Neodiprion lecontei: one gene and its partner. The main gene of each other region encodes a partner of the protein of the gene in region 2 in a complex. Links are inferred from orthologs where the notes say so. Each region holds a gene or a part of one and is shown on either strand. Other genes may lie near its edges.

What was found. Proteins that work in one complex are often made in the same cells at the same time.
Region 1: transmembrane protein 17B (region 2) and B9 domain-containing protein 1-like share a complex: the UniProt entries of both Homo sapiens proteins name them as parts of the tectonic-like complex. The link is inferred for Neodiprion lecontei from reciprocal best matches to the Homo sapiens genes TMEM17 and B9D1.

Annotation. Positions count from the first base shown.
Region 1 is NC_060261.1:40,676,261-40,686,124, forward strand, and holds B9 domain-containing protein 1-like, read right to left. Parts: upstream 5,664-9,864; 5' UTR 5,658-5,663; coding exon 5,532-5,657; exon of another isoform or gene 4,220-5,531; coding exon 4,108-4,219; coding exon of another isoform or gene 4,104-4,107; exon of another isoform or gene 3,800-4,103; coding exon 3,691-3,799; exon of another isoform or gene 3,200-3,690; coding exon 3,081-3,199; exon of another isoform or gene 2,776-3,080; coding exon of another isoform or gene 2,759-2,775; coding exon 2,655-2,758; 3' UTR 2,245-2,654; downstream 1-2,244. Other genes in the region: aconitate hydratase, mitochondrial, read right to left, coding at 6,970-7,110, 7,247-7,595, 7,688-8,250, 8,444-8,646, 9,034-9,379, 9,439-9,848. UniProt on the Homo sapiens protein: Component of the tectonic-like complex, a complex localized at the transition zone of primary cilia and acting as a barrier that prevents diffusion of transmembrane proteins between the cilia and plasma membranes.
Region 2 is NC_060263.1:2,798,010-2,805,293, forward strand, and holds transmembrane protein 17B, read right to left. Parts: upstream 3,943-7,284; 5' UTR 3,717-3,942; coding exon 3,629-3,716; intron 3,540-3,628; coding exon 3,436-3,539; intron 3,260-3,435; coding exon 3,146-3,259; intron 3,083-3,145; exon of another isoform or gene 3,064-3,082; coding exon 2,821-3,063; 3' UTR 2,755-2,820; downstream 1-2,754. Other genes in the region: uncharacterized protein LOC107222077, read left to right, coding at 4,205-4,275, 4,456-4,868, 5,325-5,536, 5,743-5,795, 5,886-6,105, 6,221-6,429, 6,551-6,626. UniProt on the Homo sapiens protein: Transmembrane component of the tectonic-like complex, a complex localized at the transition zone of primary cilia and acting as a barrier that prevents diffusion of transmembrane proteins between the cilia and plasma membranes.

The DNA.
Region 1 (9,864 bases), on a different chromosome or scaffold from region 2:
AGTGAGTGGAAAAATTGCTAATTTCTATTCGATTACAGCGAACAGAGCGTAACGAGTATCGTGGAATTCGATATGGAGGTACAGGTATTCGGAATTAATTGAGCGTGGATATCTGAGGATGTACTTCATTCGGCAGTTATATACTTTTCCGCTCGACTGATTTTCACTGCATTTCCGATCAATCGACGCGACGGTCGCACAACAAATATCCTGCGATTATTTATCTGTTCAATGCAGAGGCAATTTGAAAATCTGGTATTTTCACACTACTGCGTGAATTTTTATCGTGCAATATCAGCTTCGCGTAAATTGGCCGAGAAAAGTCGTCGGTCTTTTCGCGCGTGATTATACGACGCATTGTATCACGAGAGCAACAAATTATACGCGACGAAAATAATGCGGTAAAAATCAGTTCCAAGGGTCTGGATTTCGAACGTGGGAAGCAGTGCAGCGGTGTTTCAGGGATGTCAGAGTTGAAAGGCAGCATCGCGAGTAAGAAAATCCCAAGTCAGGACGATGTTCGTTTCGCGTTGCCTTCGGCAAAATTCTTGTGTACTTCTCGTTATGAGAATACCGTAGTTGTTCGCCGTTTTTTCTAAGGACCTTTCGCTGATGAAACAACGGCTAATATCCCAAAGAATCCCCGACACGCGAACGCGTATTTAAATCGTATCAACGTGCGCGTTCTACTCGATCGTCTGATCCTTGCAGATCCTGCGGCGGTCCGGCAAGATCATCACGCCTACGTTTATTCACGGCTTCTGCAAGGCGGTGCTTGCATCGACGCTGCATTATGCGGTGTTCTTTATTGTCCTCGGCATTTATTACGCAGCCTTTATTGCAACTTATTACGCCCGTCTTCTTTATATGCACAAGCCGGTGATAAGCAGAGTTTTACCGCCCTCTTCGGAAAGGTTGCACAGCTTCTATAATACTTCGTTTCGACAACGTTTACTGCCGAATATTCTGCGGACAAGGCGACGACTGAAAGCGACGTAACTTGCCCGATTTCAGCCTCATAAACAACCGGTGATGTACTTTATTTTATTGAATCATATTGGAGAAATGGTCTAAATTTAAATCACAACTGATCGCGGTTTTCGAAGTTATGTGTTTTGCGGTAAGGGGAGGAACTCGTATTTTCAATGTGCGTCATTTGGAAAGAAATCGATAAAAGCGATAATTCCCGACCTAGAATTTGCCATTCAGGTATCCACCCTTTTTCTTTTCCCACAGACCGATACTCTGAGCTTTTCCTTTCGTGTTTATTTTACAATTAGCCTTTTGCTCGTTCAGTTTGACTCTGCGTAGATCGATTCGCGACGGCAAATACTTGTGCAAAGCCAGTGTAATATAGGTATAACGACTGGGAATTTGGTCGACGAGTGAAACGACGTACTTTCTCTCCTAGGAAAGCACCGCGTATCGGTGGGACAAACGACGGACGCTTTAATCTATGTGCTTGAAAGAGGATGATCGTGATCAAGCCCCCGAAGCCCCGGTATTTTCATCGCTTAAACGATCCTCCACTACACGCGAAACGACGCCGATCAATGAAAGCGTACTCGATGCGACTTGCCGCGTCCAGCTGGACTCCGATACCTCATTTTACCCTCAAACCACGAAAACCGTGATCGAACAGGATCGCTCGATTAATTCAGCCTCAATTAGCCGCCCCCGCTTTATGCTCTCGAACGTATGCGAACCACCAGCACGGCGACGAGGGAATGATTAAAGATTGAATTCGAAACTTTCGTTCTCGACCTTTTTCTCGTTATACCGTCCCCGAGAATTCAACACGCGCCAAAATTACCAATTGAAAACGAATTGGGTTGCACAGTTGGACGAATAAGGTTCTGATAATATTTCAATCAATGGACTAACATCTGAATAAATTTCTCTCATTTCTCTGTTCCAGGTCCCTCAGAATTCAGGCATTATATGTAAATACCTCAGAAGAAAAGTTCACCGAGAGCGCTTTCGTTGAGAATTAGTCTACAATTATTTACTTAAGAAAGACGCTCGGCAAATATTAGTCGTTATACCGTATACGATCAGGGTGGTAAAATAATCCGGTCCTAATTGTTTTCCAATAATATAACCGGCAATATTAATATCTACGAAAAGTGCGATAAAACTGTGGAGAAAAAGGAAAAAAAAAATACCGTGTTGCAAAAATAGAAAAGTATAGTGATTCTTACGGGCAAAGTGCAACTGTTTTAAAACAAATTTTTGAAACATGTGTTTAATAAATATTGTAATGCGAGGAGTGTCAAATGCGTTCGCCATCAGGAACTTGCTGAATGAACGCCGTAACAGTATTTTTATGATAATAAAGCACGGTACAGAGAAATACGCTTAAGTGGATATATTAATTGACAATACGTTACGTTTGAATACCGGCAGATTCCATTAGTATAAATTCCATAATATAATGCCTAATTTACCTGCGAATAGGCCGCGTATGATGTACGTATACCTCGACGTATACAGATGTGCTGGAGATATCATAAATACGGTTCATCTAATTACAGGTTATTTATTTGTAATATAAACATACAATACATGCGCACGTGCATACGTGTACATATAGGGTTTTGGCAATAAACATACAAAGCATAATATTTATTCAAGGGTTTCGATAAAGTATAGTGTTACCTATCCGCCTGCTGGCCGTTGCTGTAACCCAGTTTAAAAAAATCCTTCATCGATACGTTAAAACGCACTGTAATAGTTCCTTGGGAAATCATCCTCGTCACTGAAAAAATAATATCCCTAAATTTTTCAAATTTAAAACTGCGCTGAATTGGAAATATTAATATTACAGTAGGTGCATTTTAAATTTGCCAAAGACGAGCTCTAGCATTATTGTACCAAGCTCTGTTCACGTCGAATATTGTTCGTGAAGTCTGGTGAAGAATAAAATGTACATTGACGACCGCGAGTTTCCTCACGAAATAAAAGTATCGCTCAGCTTTATGCGTTATATCGCGGTAAGAAACCGAGGCAAGCGATGTGCGAAAATAAATGTGTCGTGTGTCGTGTAAGCTGTGGATGTTGGGTATTCGAATGGTTCTTACGCTCTCGCCCTCCGCCAGTTGCGAGTATCGTTGGATCTATTAGTTCCGGTCTCCTTCCGGAGAACCAGGCAATAAATTGTTGCAATATCGAAGAAGATTGCGGAACATACACAGCCACCCTGAAAACGAAACGTTTGCGCTAATGAAACTGATTACATACCTTGCCAAAAGTGGCTGTAAATTCTAATGTTCACTTATTTATTTGTTTGTTTATTTATTTTTTTTTATCGATTGCGCAGAAAATTAAGCGGTCACTTTTAAATATTATCTACAATTTTTTCCACCAAATTGAAGCGTATCGTTTATTTATGCATGTTAAAGAAAAATTGAAGCTTAAGGGAAACGAGAAGAGATCTGATATTCGAGGGCAAAGTGGGTAAGTGGAAAAAAATGGGGTCACGTCATTCTTGAACTGCCTCTGCAAGTCGCACGGCTGACGTGCCTTATCAAAAGGACGTTTCTCGCTTCGCAGAAATTGAAAAGTAAACGTCCGAATTAATTGCTGTGTAAATTTTTATTCCACGGTTCGATCGCGACAGTTGAACGACTATGATGCAATTCCACTCAAATATAAGCGGGCGTCTGAAAAATGTGGATAAAATTGAAGTACTTTTTTGTGTGCGTGCCAGTCGCGAGTGGCAAGTGACAAACTCCGTAGCCTCTAACCACATCATGACCAAAACAGTCCAAACCGTAAACTGACAGAATCAACTGAGGCCCTAAAACAGATGGAAAATGGTATTTAGTAAGTGCAATCGATGTATTTTGCTATTCGAAAATGTAAAAAAAAAAAAAAAAATTCAATGTCGAGAACGTCTGATATCTTATCGTGATACGGGTAATCACGCTAATTGCTGCGATAAGAATATTGTTACGTCTAGTATTTAATCTTTTAAATTCTACGTATACTAATTGTAGTCAAAACATTTTGAAACTTGGCAAACATTGTAAAGGGTGGTTGTTCGGTTGTATTTTTTTTTTTAATTTCTATTTTGTAATTTTATATGAGTTTTACAGCTATACCTACATCCCTGGGGATTGATACTCTTGAACGCAATATCGAGAGGAAAGTTCCAAACAGCAACCTGGCGAGCGTCGGTGCTTTTTTTACTCATTTGCGTAAGCCCCTCTTCGATTCCCTGTGGAGTTGAAAAATTTTGGTTTACAATTCTACATGCGACATACTGTATATTATTCAAATCGGCGGAATTGTTATTGAGAGGAGATCGTAGAAATGAAAATTATCGGTGCGATACACCCCTGTTTTACATGTACTGTAGAGGAAACTTTGAGGATGATACCCTACGAAAGCTTTTTGTCACGTTTTTCTTCCCAGCGTTTCAATTGTAGTCACGAATTCTCACAACCAGCTACCTCATGATCCAATCTCGAGAGCGATAAGAGCACGTGCGTTCAATCCCCGGTTGTGAATATTTTCCCATTCAATTTATGCCGCGGTATAACCGCGGGTGAATACTTTGGTTACTCATAGAGACGAAATTCTTTCAACGAAATTTAATAACCTTAAGTGATATCTATACTTCGATGTGGTTATGAGCTGTATGGGTAATTCTTTCGAGAGCGGAAGAAAACAAGAGGAATATAACAATAAAAGAAAAGTATACCAAACTCCTTTCCTTCCATCAAGATTATTTGAAACTATCAAGATTAAGTGGGTGAATAAATTTCTGCAAAAATCGACCAAGCCGTCCGTATTATGTATGTTATAACATGTAGCGTTATTAAAAGCTTGGAAAGCGGTTATTTGAATGACATGACTAAAGGCAAGCAGGATCTTGTGCTGTACGCGAAGCCTAACATTTGAATATAAAATAAATTTATCATCTAGCCCGTAATTAATTGGGCACTTAAATTTTATGGCTATAACACCCAGGAATAATCAAGAATCATTTCGCGGTACGTTCATCGACATGTACATCGATTATTGATGGAAAAAAAATTCTCCCCACAGAAGTTTATGATTAGCGCAAATCGGAAATCAGATCAGTAACTTTTACGTTATCAGTTTTTATCAACTTACTTTATACTCTTAAAATATCTAACAGAATGTTACCGACTGATGTGAACACGCGAATCACTTCTTGTTACACGGCAGCTGCAGGTAAAATGCAAATCAAGTATTTGAGGAATGTATAAATTATCTCCATCGTTGAATAACTCGCGTGATAATAAATAAATGATTTTGCCGTCGTCGCTGGATTGAGCGCGTAGAAATTTGCAAATTAATAACTGAGCAACGGTAGATAATAATTGAAACTTTTGCCAAGTATTGGTACAATTACGATAGTGGATAAAACAAAAACCATTTTTACAATTTTTCCGTGAGAAATGGAATTGTTAGTACTGAGAAAATTAACCAAGCGGTCGGAATATTGAAATAAAAAAAAAACACAGATAAGAAAGTAAACCAATAATGTGTGATGTGTATACCCTGACGATGCTCCAGTCCGGTCCAAAGTGGTATCCATATTTGCAATACACGTTATCAATGTCATAGAAGTTTGCGTACTCGATCGATCCTGTCACTGATAAGAAAAATTCACCCTCGACTGACATGGATATAAATTACTTCTCCGTCAGATCAGATGATATTTTCTCTATCGACTACCAAAGGTTTGCTTTTACGCGTTCGCTTTACTATTTGTTGTGAATTTCGTCATTCTGCGTTGTCATGACGATATCCGCGCGTTTCGACGATTAACGGGTAAAACGCCTGATGAAGTTTGGACAAGCAACTTGCGATACATTTGTGGTTTCAAAGATAATTGTGCTAGGCGCTTATATTCTACACCAAATGACAATTCAAGCTTTTCATTACGAATTATCAAAATTTTGTTAGGTACTCAGTGACAATAGCTCTTCACTTTTCCCGGTGAACTGATTTATTTCATAAATTTAACGATCGAATTAAAAGTAATGTAAGAACCCAGTGAAACTTTTATTAAAATGATTATTTTTGGATATAAACTTGCAGTACTCTACTAAAATATACGATCGGTATTGAAGTAGCCACAAAATTGTTCAATGAAAAATTTCGACTTCAAACTACTAACGCATACTAGGTAAAACTTTATTAACACGGCAAAAACTGTTAAAAATGACAGCTTTTGCTTTTTAATCGATCGATACAGAGAATAATATATACAATAAGTATTACTGTGTAAATGATATCCTAAGTAACAGTTATTAATGTACTAATGGGCATTATTATTCAGATTAAATCACCGACTTGCTTAATATACAATTTTTTTTTTTTATACAGAACTGACCCAAGGAGCACTGGTCTTTACGATTCATCTTTTATTCAGTTGGCAAAATCAGACTTGAATGATTGGCAATGGATTATAAAGACGCAGAATAGCATCGTTGAAGTGAGACTAAAAAGTAGCTACCGATTTTAGATTTGAGTCTAGTCTTGATTCGAGTTTGAATATACACATCCATAATCAATAATACGTACAATAATTTTGTCAATTGAAGGGAAGTTTCATTACTTATTGTACATCGTACATGCATAAAAAAAAGTATGCAACTTTAGCCCGATTATAAAATTTCTCTAATATCGCATGATTCTTAGTGATAATTAGCTCCCTTAAATTTCAGTTCTCGTAATGAATACTACCTTATATTTGCATTGTTCTATTTCCTAAATATCTACCGTCTGTACGCGTAACTGCCGCTTCAAAAATCAAATTTCTATCGGAACTAAAATTCCCTGTCTACGAACGATTTCGTAAATTTTCCCTATTTGCTTTCGAAAATTCAATACATGTGACATACTAGCTTACTGCTAGTTGACATTTTTGGCATTGTTCGACTTCTCAATTCGACATCTTCATCCTTCGTTTCTTCAGTTTCGTTTAACCCTCTACTTTCCTAGGGCTACTTCCTTCATACGGTTCAACGCTGAGCCTGCTTTGAACCAACCAATCTGCTGCTCATTGAACGTGTGATTCAAAGTGATGGTGTCAACCTTTCCGTCTTTGTGTTTGATTTCTGCCTTGATAGGCTAAAACAAATCAAAAAACAAGACAAATAATCACAAGCACTGAATCAGATGTGTTAATTACTGATCTCATCTGGGAAATAGAATCAAATCTGAAATATAATTTTTGCGTTTAGGTCAAACAACTTTATCAACGAACCTTTCCAGGAGCTAAATCCTTGAGACCAAGGAGGTTGATCTTGTCAGTTGGTTGGATTTTGTCGTAATCACTTGGGTCAGCGAAAGTCAATGGAAGCATACCCTGCTTTTTCAAATTGGTTTCGTGGATCCTAGCAAAACTCTTCACAATTATGGCACGTCCTCCAAGATGTCTGGGCTCAAGAGCAGCGTGTTCCCGAGACGAACCTTCGCCGTAGTTTTCATCGCCGATAGTTACCCATCTGACGCCATTCTTTTTATAATGTCGAGCAACATCGGGAACAGCTCCCCACTCTCCCGTAAGCTGGTTCTTGATTTTGTTGACTTCGCCGTTTTCCGCATTGACCGCACTGAAAAACAAGGAAAATTGGAAACCTCCAAACAAGTAGATAGAAGTATTTCTAAAAGTTGATAAGAAGAATACGTAATAGCGGCCACATACCCGATGAACATGTTGTTAGAAATGTTGTCCAAGTGACCACGGTACTTTAGCCACGGTCCAGCGGCGGATATGTGATCGGTCGTACATTTTCCCTTCGCTTTGATAAGGACGACTAGATCGGTAAGATCTTTGCCGTCCCATTTGTCGAACGGGTCCAGAAGCTGAAGCCTTTGAGATTTGGGATCGACGTCAACTTTGACTGAGCTACCGTCAGCGGGAGGATGGTCGTACGTTTCTTGGCCAGGGTCGAAGCCACGGCTGGGCAGTTCGTCAGCGAATGGATCGTCCAGCAAGAACTCTTTGCCGTCAGCGCCCTTCAGTTTGTCCGTAACCGGGTTGAAATCTAATCGTCCAGCGATTGACAACGCTGTTACCAGCTCTGGACTTGTTACGAAAGCGTGAGTTGCCGGGTTTGCGTCGTTACGACCAGTGAAGTTGCGGTTGTACGATGTTACGATAGTGTTTTTGTCGCCCTTTTTGATGTCTTGACGATCCCATTGCCCAATGCAAGGACCACACGCGTTAGCGAGAACGACGCCTCCGAATTGACGAAGCGTTTCGGCCTGTTTAATAGGGTTACAGAGTTAGTTCGAGATTAAATAAATGTGAAGTAGCATTTTGTTTTCATTGCAAGTGCAACGAGAATTGGTTGTTACTGTGACAATTTCCAACCAAAATGGCTTTCCCAAAGAAAGTCAGTTACTCTCTGTTATTATTATTAGCGACGAAACATATGTATTAGGAATATGATATTACAATTCCGTCGCGTTCGATGGTGGCACGAATTTGCTCAGAGCCAGGAGTTACGTTGAAGGTGGACTTGGACTTAATTCCGTGCTTCATGGCCTGCTTGGCAATGCTTGCACATCGGCCCATGTCTTCGTAAGAACTGTTTGTGCACGATCCAATGAGACCGACTTTTATCTCATTTGGCCATCCATTTTTCTTTGCAGTTTCACCTGAAATTTAAAAACCACATAAGCATGCGAAAGCGCCTAAGTAACGAACACATACGGGCATCTGGAGTAACCCAATCTATACCAATCACAGCACAAAATGTTTGAGATTGATTGAATATCGCTTTGTAACAACTTAATCAAACTATGTAGATTCGAATAACTGCATGATCATTAAGATATTGGGGGAAGGGGAGATTATATAATACTACAATGAACAGTAAGCTCTGTTGAACAGGACACAAATTAAAGCAATCAGGTTAATCTTATCGTTTGAATACAAGGTTTCTTTTTCATGATGCCATCAAAAGTATATAGTCGTGAAATAAGAAAAGAACGATAAAATCATGAGTCTCCCGTGTCAATCTTTACTTAAATAATTGAACTCACCCAATTTGGAAATAGGGTGAGCAAGGTCGGGTGTAAACGGTCCGTTGACATGTGGCTCCAGCGTTGAAAGATCCAATTCGATGACCTGATCGTATTTAGCGTTGGAATCAGCAGTGAGGAGACTCTCCTTGTACTGATCAGCCGCAACGGAAATTTCCCCACGTCCAGTCGCCTTCAGATAATCCTGCATGCGTCCATTGTACGGAAAAACTGAAGTCGTAGCACCAATTTCCGCACCCATGTTACAAATCGTGGCCATACCAGTACAGCTAATGCTGTCCACACCAGGGCCAAAGTATTCTACAATCGCTCCAGTGCCTCCTTTCACCGTCAGGATACCTGCAACCTGTAGAAAATTGTTGTCTTATTATTTTTGCACCGCATTTCATGCACAGCATGTCTCACCTTCAGAATGATGTCCTTCGGACTCGTCCAACCTTTGAGCTGGCCAGTCAACTTGACACCAATAACTTTGGGGCACTTCAATTCCCACGGAATATTGGCCATCACGTCAACAGCGTCAGCTCCACCAACACCAATACACAAGCCTCCCAAGCCTCCTCCGTTCGGTGTGTGAGAGTCTGTACCAATCATCAGCAGCCCAGGAAATGCGTAGTTTTCCAAAATAATTTGGTGGATGATACCAGATCCAGGGTTCCAGAATCCAACGCCGTACTTGGCACCAGCTGTCTTCAGGAAATTGTATACCTCCTTATTTACGTCCTTGGCTCGGGCCAAATCTTCAGTTCCACCAATTTGAGCTTCGATCAAGTGATCGCAGTGGATGGTCGAGGGCACAGCGACTTTGGGGAGACCTAAAGGAGAGACAAA
Region 2 (7,284 bases):
GTATTTTTCACCTGTTTTGCAGTATTTTAACGAGAATATACGTTATTTAGTACTATATTTCTACTATCAAAATCTGTTTGAAAAATTGAAATCAGACTTAAAAAATAGTGGTGTCATTAATTTGTGAAAGAAACATTGATTTTTCCGGATTTTCCCCGTTAATAATAATCCGATCAAGTCGTTTCAGCGCTTATTTTCTTCGTCTTTTGATTCTCGATAATTCGTCTAAGCAAAGCATCAAGATTGCTTTGTTAGTTTTGAAGTTACAAGCGAAAATCGAAAAAACCGATTTTTTGCTTTTAAATATTTATAAAAAATTGATAAATGATAGTTGTGAATGGAAAACATAACAGAACTAAGTACTGTGTTTTGTGTGATAGCACAGTCGGTATCCTAATAGTATTTGTGTCACAGAATCACTCATTTTCTGCTCTATTGATTGGTCTAATCATTAAGCTTCGCTTGATTTTAAATTTATATCTGCCATGTAGCATAATTGCGCAAAACCGTAATCTACGTGTAGTATACGTATAAATTGATAAGCGAGAGGAAATACGAACCTTGATAAAGCGGAACGATTTTCATCTAATTTGCGAACGCGGGAATATCGAATATTTGAAAGCCTGTGAATTGCTAAGCACACCAAACATGTGACACGGGTCATTTTGCAACGGTGAATTAAAACTCAAATCCACGGTAACTTATTGGCCGAGATGAAAAAACTTTACGGAAAGTTGATATCTTTCGAATTTTTTCAATTCTAAGTCAATCAATCGCGGAGGTAATCTTGAATTTAAGGCGGAACTTTAAATATAAAAACGGCAATACCGATTTATTTTCAACGTTTTACCGTAATAAGCTCTAATAATAATTATAATAATAGTGATCGTATTGGGCTGTTTGTATACAATATTTAAACAGCTGCCGCAGATGAATATGTGGCAATAATGCTTCGCACGATGCGCGGCTGTATATCTTGCATGCATTGCGGAGACGCGCGAATGGATGATGTAAGCCGGTCGCCGCATACGATTAAGGCATTTGGTGGACGGCTACAACAGAATCTTTTGTAATGTTGAAAATATATAATATATGTTTATAAATTTCTATTCATATAGGACGAGGTAACACAAAAACATGGCTTCATCGACCTCCGGAACTCAACAACGCACCACTGACGCCACAGCCGACGATAATTTCGTTAAATTCCCTCCCGTTATCGACGGGAAAATAAACACCGCGGAGTTCTTAGCTGCTGCGCAGGGCGTTGTGCGAATCGTCGGTAAGTTAAGTATCACACACACACGCGTCTCGTCTCGCACAGACATCACGCCGCGAACATAACCTAGATTCAAACACCGAGGCGGCATTGGTGCGAATGCACGTGACATTACGATTAGCTATGCAGCGGGTGAGTACCTACTCACCGCGGTTATACTGAGAACCCTTTTTTACTCATTTCAGATAAATTTGGAAAGCTCTTTGCACCGGTCAAATATGACATGCAGGGAAATATTGACGTGAGTTGAACCCTTACTCGATTTTCGCAGTTAAAGCGTTGAATATATTTTACTTACATCTAATTATCACTGAATTCAATGGAAATCTTTGTAGAAATTGAACACAAAGTATGTGGCTGACAAAGAGAAACACTCGACGTTGCATGACATGATCTTGTTGGAAAAAATTTCAGGGAAAACTATAATCGCCACAGATGCTCTCCTCTGGCTGCGAAGGTAGCAAATTAATTAATTCTACAGAATTTCAGGTATCAAATAATACATGCAGGCTTCTTCTCTAAAGTTTGTATCCTTACTACATCACAGAGGCCTCCACATGATCCAGGTGTTCTTTGAAAAGATTATTGAGGATCACAAAACTGGAAAAGCTAGCGATGATCTGGTTGCACTTCTGAAAAAAGCTTACAAAGAAGCCCTGGAACCATATCACGGATGGATGGCACAGCAGCTGTTTGGAGTATGTATGAGCATTAATTTTGGTGGTATTAATTAACTTTCTGTTGCACCATTAATAACTGGCAATTTGTTTTGTAGCTGTTATCAAGGACGGTACCGACACGATCCCAACTACTGCACGCCCTTGCTAATGAGCAAAGGAATAAAGATGACTTGATAATACAAGAGCTAGACGTGTTTTTGGTCATTTTGAAAGAAAATTTGCAAAATCTGCTCACCTTTTACATCGAGCACAACCTAGAAAATGGTGCAAAAGTATAACCAACAGTTACTTCAGTAAATTTCATGGCGAGCTTGAAAAATACTTTAATTTTTTCTTTGTGAACGCCAAGCTTGATTTAACTATGTTTGGTAGATAACATATTATTATCAAGATATTTGAAAATACTTTTCAAGATTTATCTATTTCGGAACTTAATCACGAGTCTTGAATATAGGCTCAGAAGCAAACTGATGATATGTGGTCTTAAAACTTGATCTACAAGTTTTTCCATGTGCAGTTTTTACATTTTAGTACAAACATATTTTTACAACGAATATTTAAAATGTGTTCAACAACAGTTGGATTCACTGCAAACGTGACCAATAGGTGACTGGCTGCTGCTCCGCAGATTAAATCGTGTATTTACACAATTCTGATAGGTGCCAAATGAAACTAGGTAATGAGTGATTGTGGGTCATAAATTTATTACTTTATACCTATGTACAGATGAAAGATATGTATGTATGTTTATGTTTTATACGAGGTTAATGATTGTATAATTGAGTTATGAAATAATTAAGTGATGAATAGTTTAATATTTCATATATACAAGCATTACAGTTCAAAGATATTTCATCGGTCTTACTCTAGTTTTTCATTAATTTCGTACAGTTGTGCGAGGTAAAATCTTTTTGCATGATGATTGGCCGAATTTCTTAATGCAATTGTTCCAGTAATTATTTCAGTGAGGAGGAAAACTAACATAACGCTGTTTACTACATGTTCTCCTCTACCTGGCAGCATCCTACCATCAACAAGAGTAAACATTTGTAGAGGAAATTGTATCAGTGTTGAAATCAGCCAAAAGCAAGCCAACTCGGGAATCTGAAATCACGCAAATATGGTAATTTTCTCCATAACATTTCATTGAAGTTTTTTCAAGTTCACGCAAATACAACGCCTAAACCTTCTCTGCCAAATTTCCAAGGTATCCTAGGTACAGTCGTATGCATTCCGAAACGGCAACAATTACGAAAACGCCAACAGTTATAAATTTGTAAATGTCCGATAGTTTATGGTACTGAAAAAAAATCACAACTTTAGTTAAGCTTAAAGTATTAGATTAAAATATCAATACGTACATTCTTGATAACGAGTCAACTATGGGTAATCAATATTTAACCGGTGATGGGTTTACCGGGCTTTAACGGGGTTAAAATATCAGCAATATTGCTGCTATTCGTTAAGAGTAGTTACTTTTTGATCGAGAAGATTCAAACTGATGAAAAACCAAAACGGAAATAGCCAAGTATTGAAATACAGTGCCATTTGTAGCGGTAAACTGGACTTAATCACGTTTCCTGTAAAATGGCAAAAGTAACGTAGAATACGAACATCAACGCGACGCTGACCATTCCGACATCGTCGAATAGATCGCAAGGTTTATTACCGATGTCATGAAATTCTTTTATTCGATTGTGATAAGCGAGACCTGGAAATATTCTATCTGATGCACTTATTACTGTATCCTTCCACATTGCATAAAAAAAGTTATTAACCTAAAGTGGTCTACAGGTCGCTGTGACAACAAATATTTCTGCAACCACAAACCAAGGATATTTAGAGAGAGTGAGCCCCCCTGATTTAGTAACACCCTTTGACATGGAATAGGTTTTTTTTAACTAATTGTCGAGGTGCCGCGACGGTAAATGCATAAGTAATGTATGACTGCAACTAATTACTTATTGTTAGAGCATTGTACAGTATTACCTGCCGTATCATAAAATCGCACTGAAGTGGTAACTCTGGTACACGGCAATTCGTTGTGCGTTTCGGAACACGTGCTAAGGTTCGCGTCGTGGTCGCGTCACTTACTCGTAGGCCAATGGCCACCAATAGCTACTGCCGCTACTGCGATACATCAAACAGATCCAAAACGGCGTTCCCCCATAGATCCATCAGGGGTGTAAGTTAGGGTTCATCGTTCGATTGTTTTTGTAGTTACCAGGGTACAGTTTGTCGAAGCATGGCCGATAATGTGCTTAGTTTAGATGACATAATCAAGAAATCCAAAATTTCAGCAATGAAAGGCCGCGGGTGAGTTGAGAATTTATCATTTTCTTATTGAAATCTCAAAATTTTTTCTGTGAGTAAAGCTCGTTACTTAAGCCTTACTTCACCATGAATCTTATAACCTTCAAAAACATCTATCGAGCCACAATCATATCTGATGCTCATTAATTACAGCAAGCTTATGATATCTCACCAATATTACAGGTCGAGAAGAGGCATCAACCGAAGTACTCTACGAACTAACGTATCTTCGAGAGGTCGAGGAGGGCCGGTCATTGCGGATGCTAGATTCAAAATCATCCAAAAGAATCGTGAGAAACTCACTGATGCTCGAGATAAACTAGCTCAAATAGCCAAGCAGTCTGATGCCAGGTTGAAGTTGGACAAATTACGTGCCACTCATTTGAAAACTGTCGATTTACCTCTCAGTGGAATTTCTCGTCAAACGGGCCTCAATGGTCGAATTACATTGACGACCAATAAGCTTCATAATAAAACCATGCACCCGATTCCGGCTACAAATTATTTGGCGCCAGGTTCTAGAGCTATGGAGTACAGGGCACCGCCCATGGTCGAAACTTCATACGCTGATGATATGGAAATGAACTTCAATGATGGTGCTCATTTTCTTTTTATCTATTTTCTACTCTAGGAAGACTTGTATATTATACCCTCAATTCGATTGCACATTGAATATCTCCTTGACATAATCTATAATTTTATTTGTATTCAGATATTTTTTCAATTTCTTGCACTGATATTTGCTTTTAGAATGTCTTTTTTTTCAGACTATTTTCTGATTTTACGTCTCTGAACATTCCGAAACATTTAATTCCCTCTAGCAATATAGTTTGTATATTCTCAAAGATTTTCTATCCAGCATTACATAATGATTTTGGATTTAGATTGTGTTATGACAAAATATGAATTCTTACGACACTTGTGGATGAAATTTAACTAAATATTTCAATATGTATCAGTAACATTGATAATCAATTTCAAATGTGTGTTATGACACATGCATTTTGACTGCCTTTACTCAATACCGATGATTCAATCTCATCCATTCTTAGATTACATGATGGATTCAACACCTCTAAGGCGGACTGTCAACAATGAATATGTGCCTGTGCCACCTCCACCACCACCTTCATTCAACTTATCCCCGACCAATGAATACACTTGGGTGAAACTGCCTGGTAGTAGTCTTGGAAGGATGGGTTCTTCTAGGCCAGTTGAGGTTCAGAGACCACGTGACTTTAAAATTGTGGCTCGTACTTCAATGGTAATTACAAAAGTCTATTGCTTACAAACGTAGACTTTGTAAATTTCCTTCGTTTGGCTGAACAATTTTCTGTGACATTTTCACAAGAAATATAAATCTTTAGATTTCGTAAGCATTTAGCTCATGAGGGAATAAAAATTCAATAAATTTCATAATTTTCTGGAAAAGCAGAGGTTTTAAATATTACAATTGTTGGCTGCTTTCAGGGTAAACCAATGGTTACTTCAAAGAGCGATTGGAGTTTTGGATCAAAAGCAAGGTATGTCGTCACTGCTTCATTGGACTAAAGTTTTAATTCATCTCTTGCTGTTTAACTACTGCTGCATAAATCGTCCTTGTATATTTGCAGAACCATATTGACTGAAGATACTATAAATGACAGATACCTGGACATCAGGGGTCGTAGAGACGTTGGTGTTAAATCGCGACTGGATTCATTACCAAATAAACCTCGAACCATGGGTATTTTATCTCGTCCAAAGTCTAGCTCAAATTCGACGTCAGTAACGACTGGTTATCGAATCGTTGTATCAAATCTCCAGGCCAATGTAACTCAGGAGGATATAAAGGTAAACCTAAAATATTCACGTCTATTTTGTTGGTAATTACGACGTGGAAGCCAAATATTTATTGTACAATGCGCCTGTAGTTATGTACATTAGATGCTAAATTCTTGTTACTAAGGAACTGTTCGAGGACGTCGGAGAATTGTTGGTGTCCAGGTTAGTGCGCCCAGGCACAGCTGAGGTGATTTACAAGACATTAAAAGATGCAACGAAAGCGGTGGAAACTTATCACAATCGGCAACTGGATGGACATCCTATGAAATGTTTATTAGTTAATCCACGACCAAAAAATAATCCAACTGGTCCAGCAGTTAGGCCATTGCCCGAGTAAGCAAAATCATATACTTGAAGTAACTAAATTGTAATGATAATTATTTTTGATATCTTCCTGTTCGGCTCTTAACAATCCCAATCTTTGTTCGCTTGAGGCTGTCATTTTAATTTACAGAACAAGACGGAGTGCGAGTTCAAGTTATGTGCAGCCTAGTCTTGGCGCAGTCCATCGTGCACTATTTGATGACTGAACAATAAACAACATATTTGAAGCATCATGAATTCGATACGAAATATATTTATAATTCATGAATTACGCATACACCAATTCGGTATACAAATGATGTTAAAGCGCATCACTGCTGCGACGCATCGCAATGATTGTGATTGAAAAATTTTATTACTTCATGCCTCGTGATTGTTAGAAGTATGAAATACTAATGAGTATTGAACACTTGAATATAAACTCGAACAAAGGGATAAAAGACTTTGAACGAAGATAGAAGATGAAACTGCTCTTAGTAGTTGGTATAACTTCATACCATCCTTGACTCATGAACCGATCAACATCGATTCATCATTCATTTCACATTTAACGATTACTATGTTGCAAGCTAGGTATACATTACTGTACGTCACGCCTGTAGCGATTGTACAATAAAAATGCATAACATAAGCCGTATACTTTACCGTAATAGCATACTAAATGTATGTATCCCACTACATTGTACTTATTCGTTACTAATATTTTACATTGAAGTCCAAATAGAACAGTGATTATGGATCCAAACCCACAATAGATTGCAAAAAAACAATAATGCGTGACTCGAAATGTGACTTCTTTTACACCCCTCTCTACCTTGGGCGGAAGTAAGAAAATATGTACTCTAGGAGAAAAATGGTAGAAAC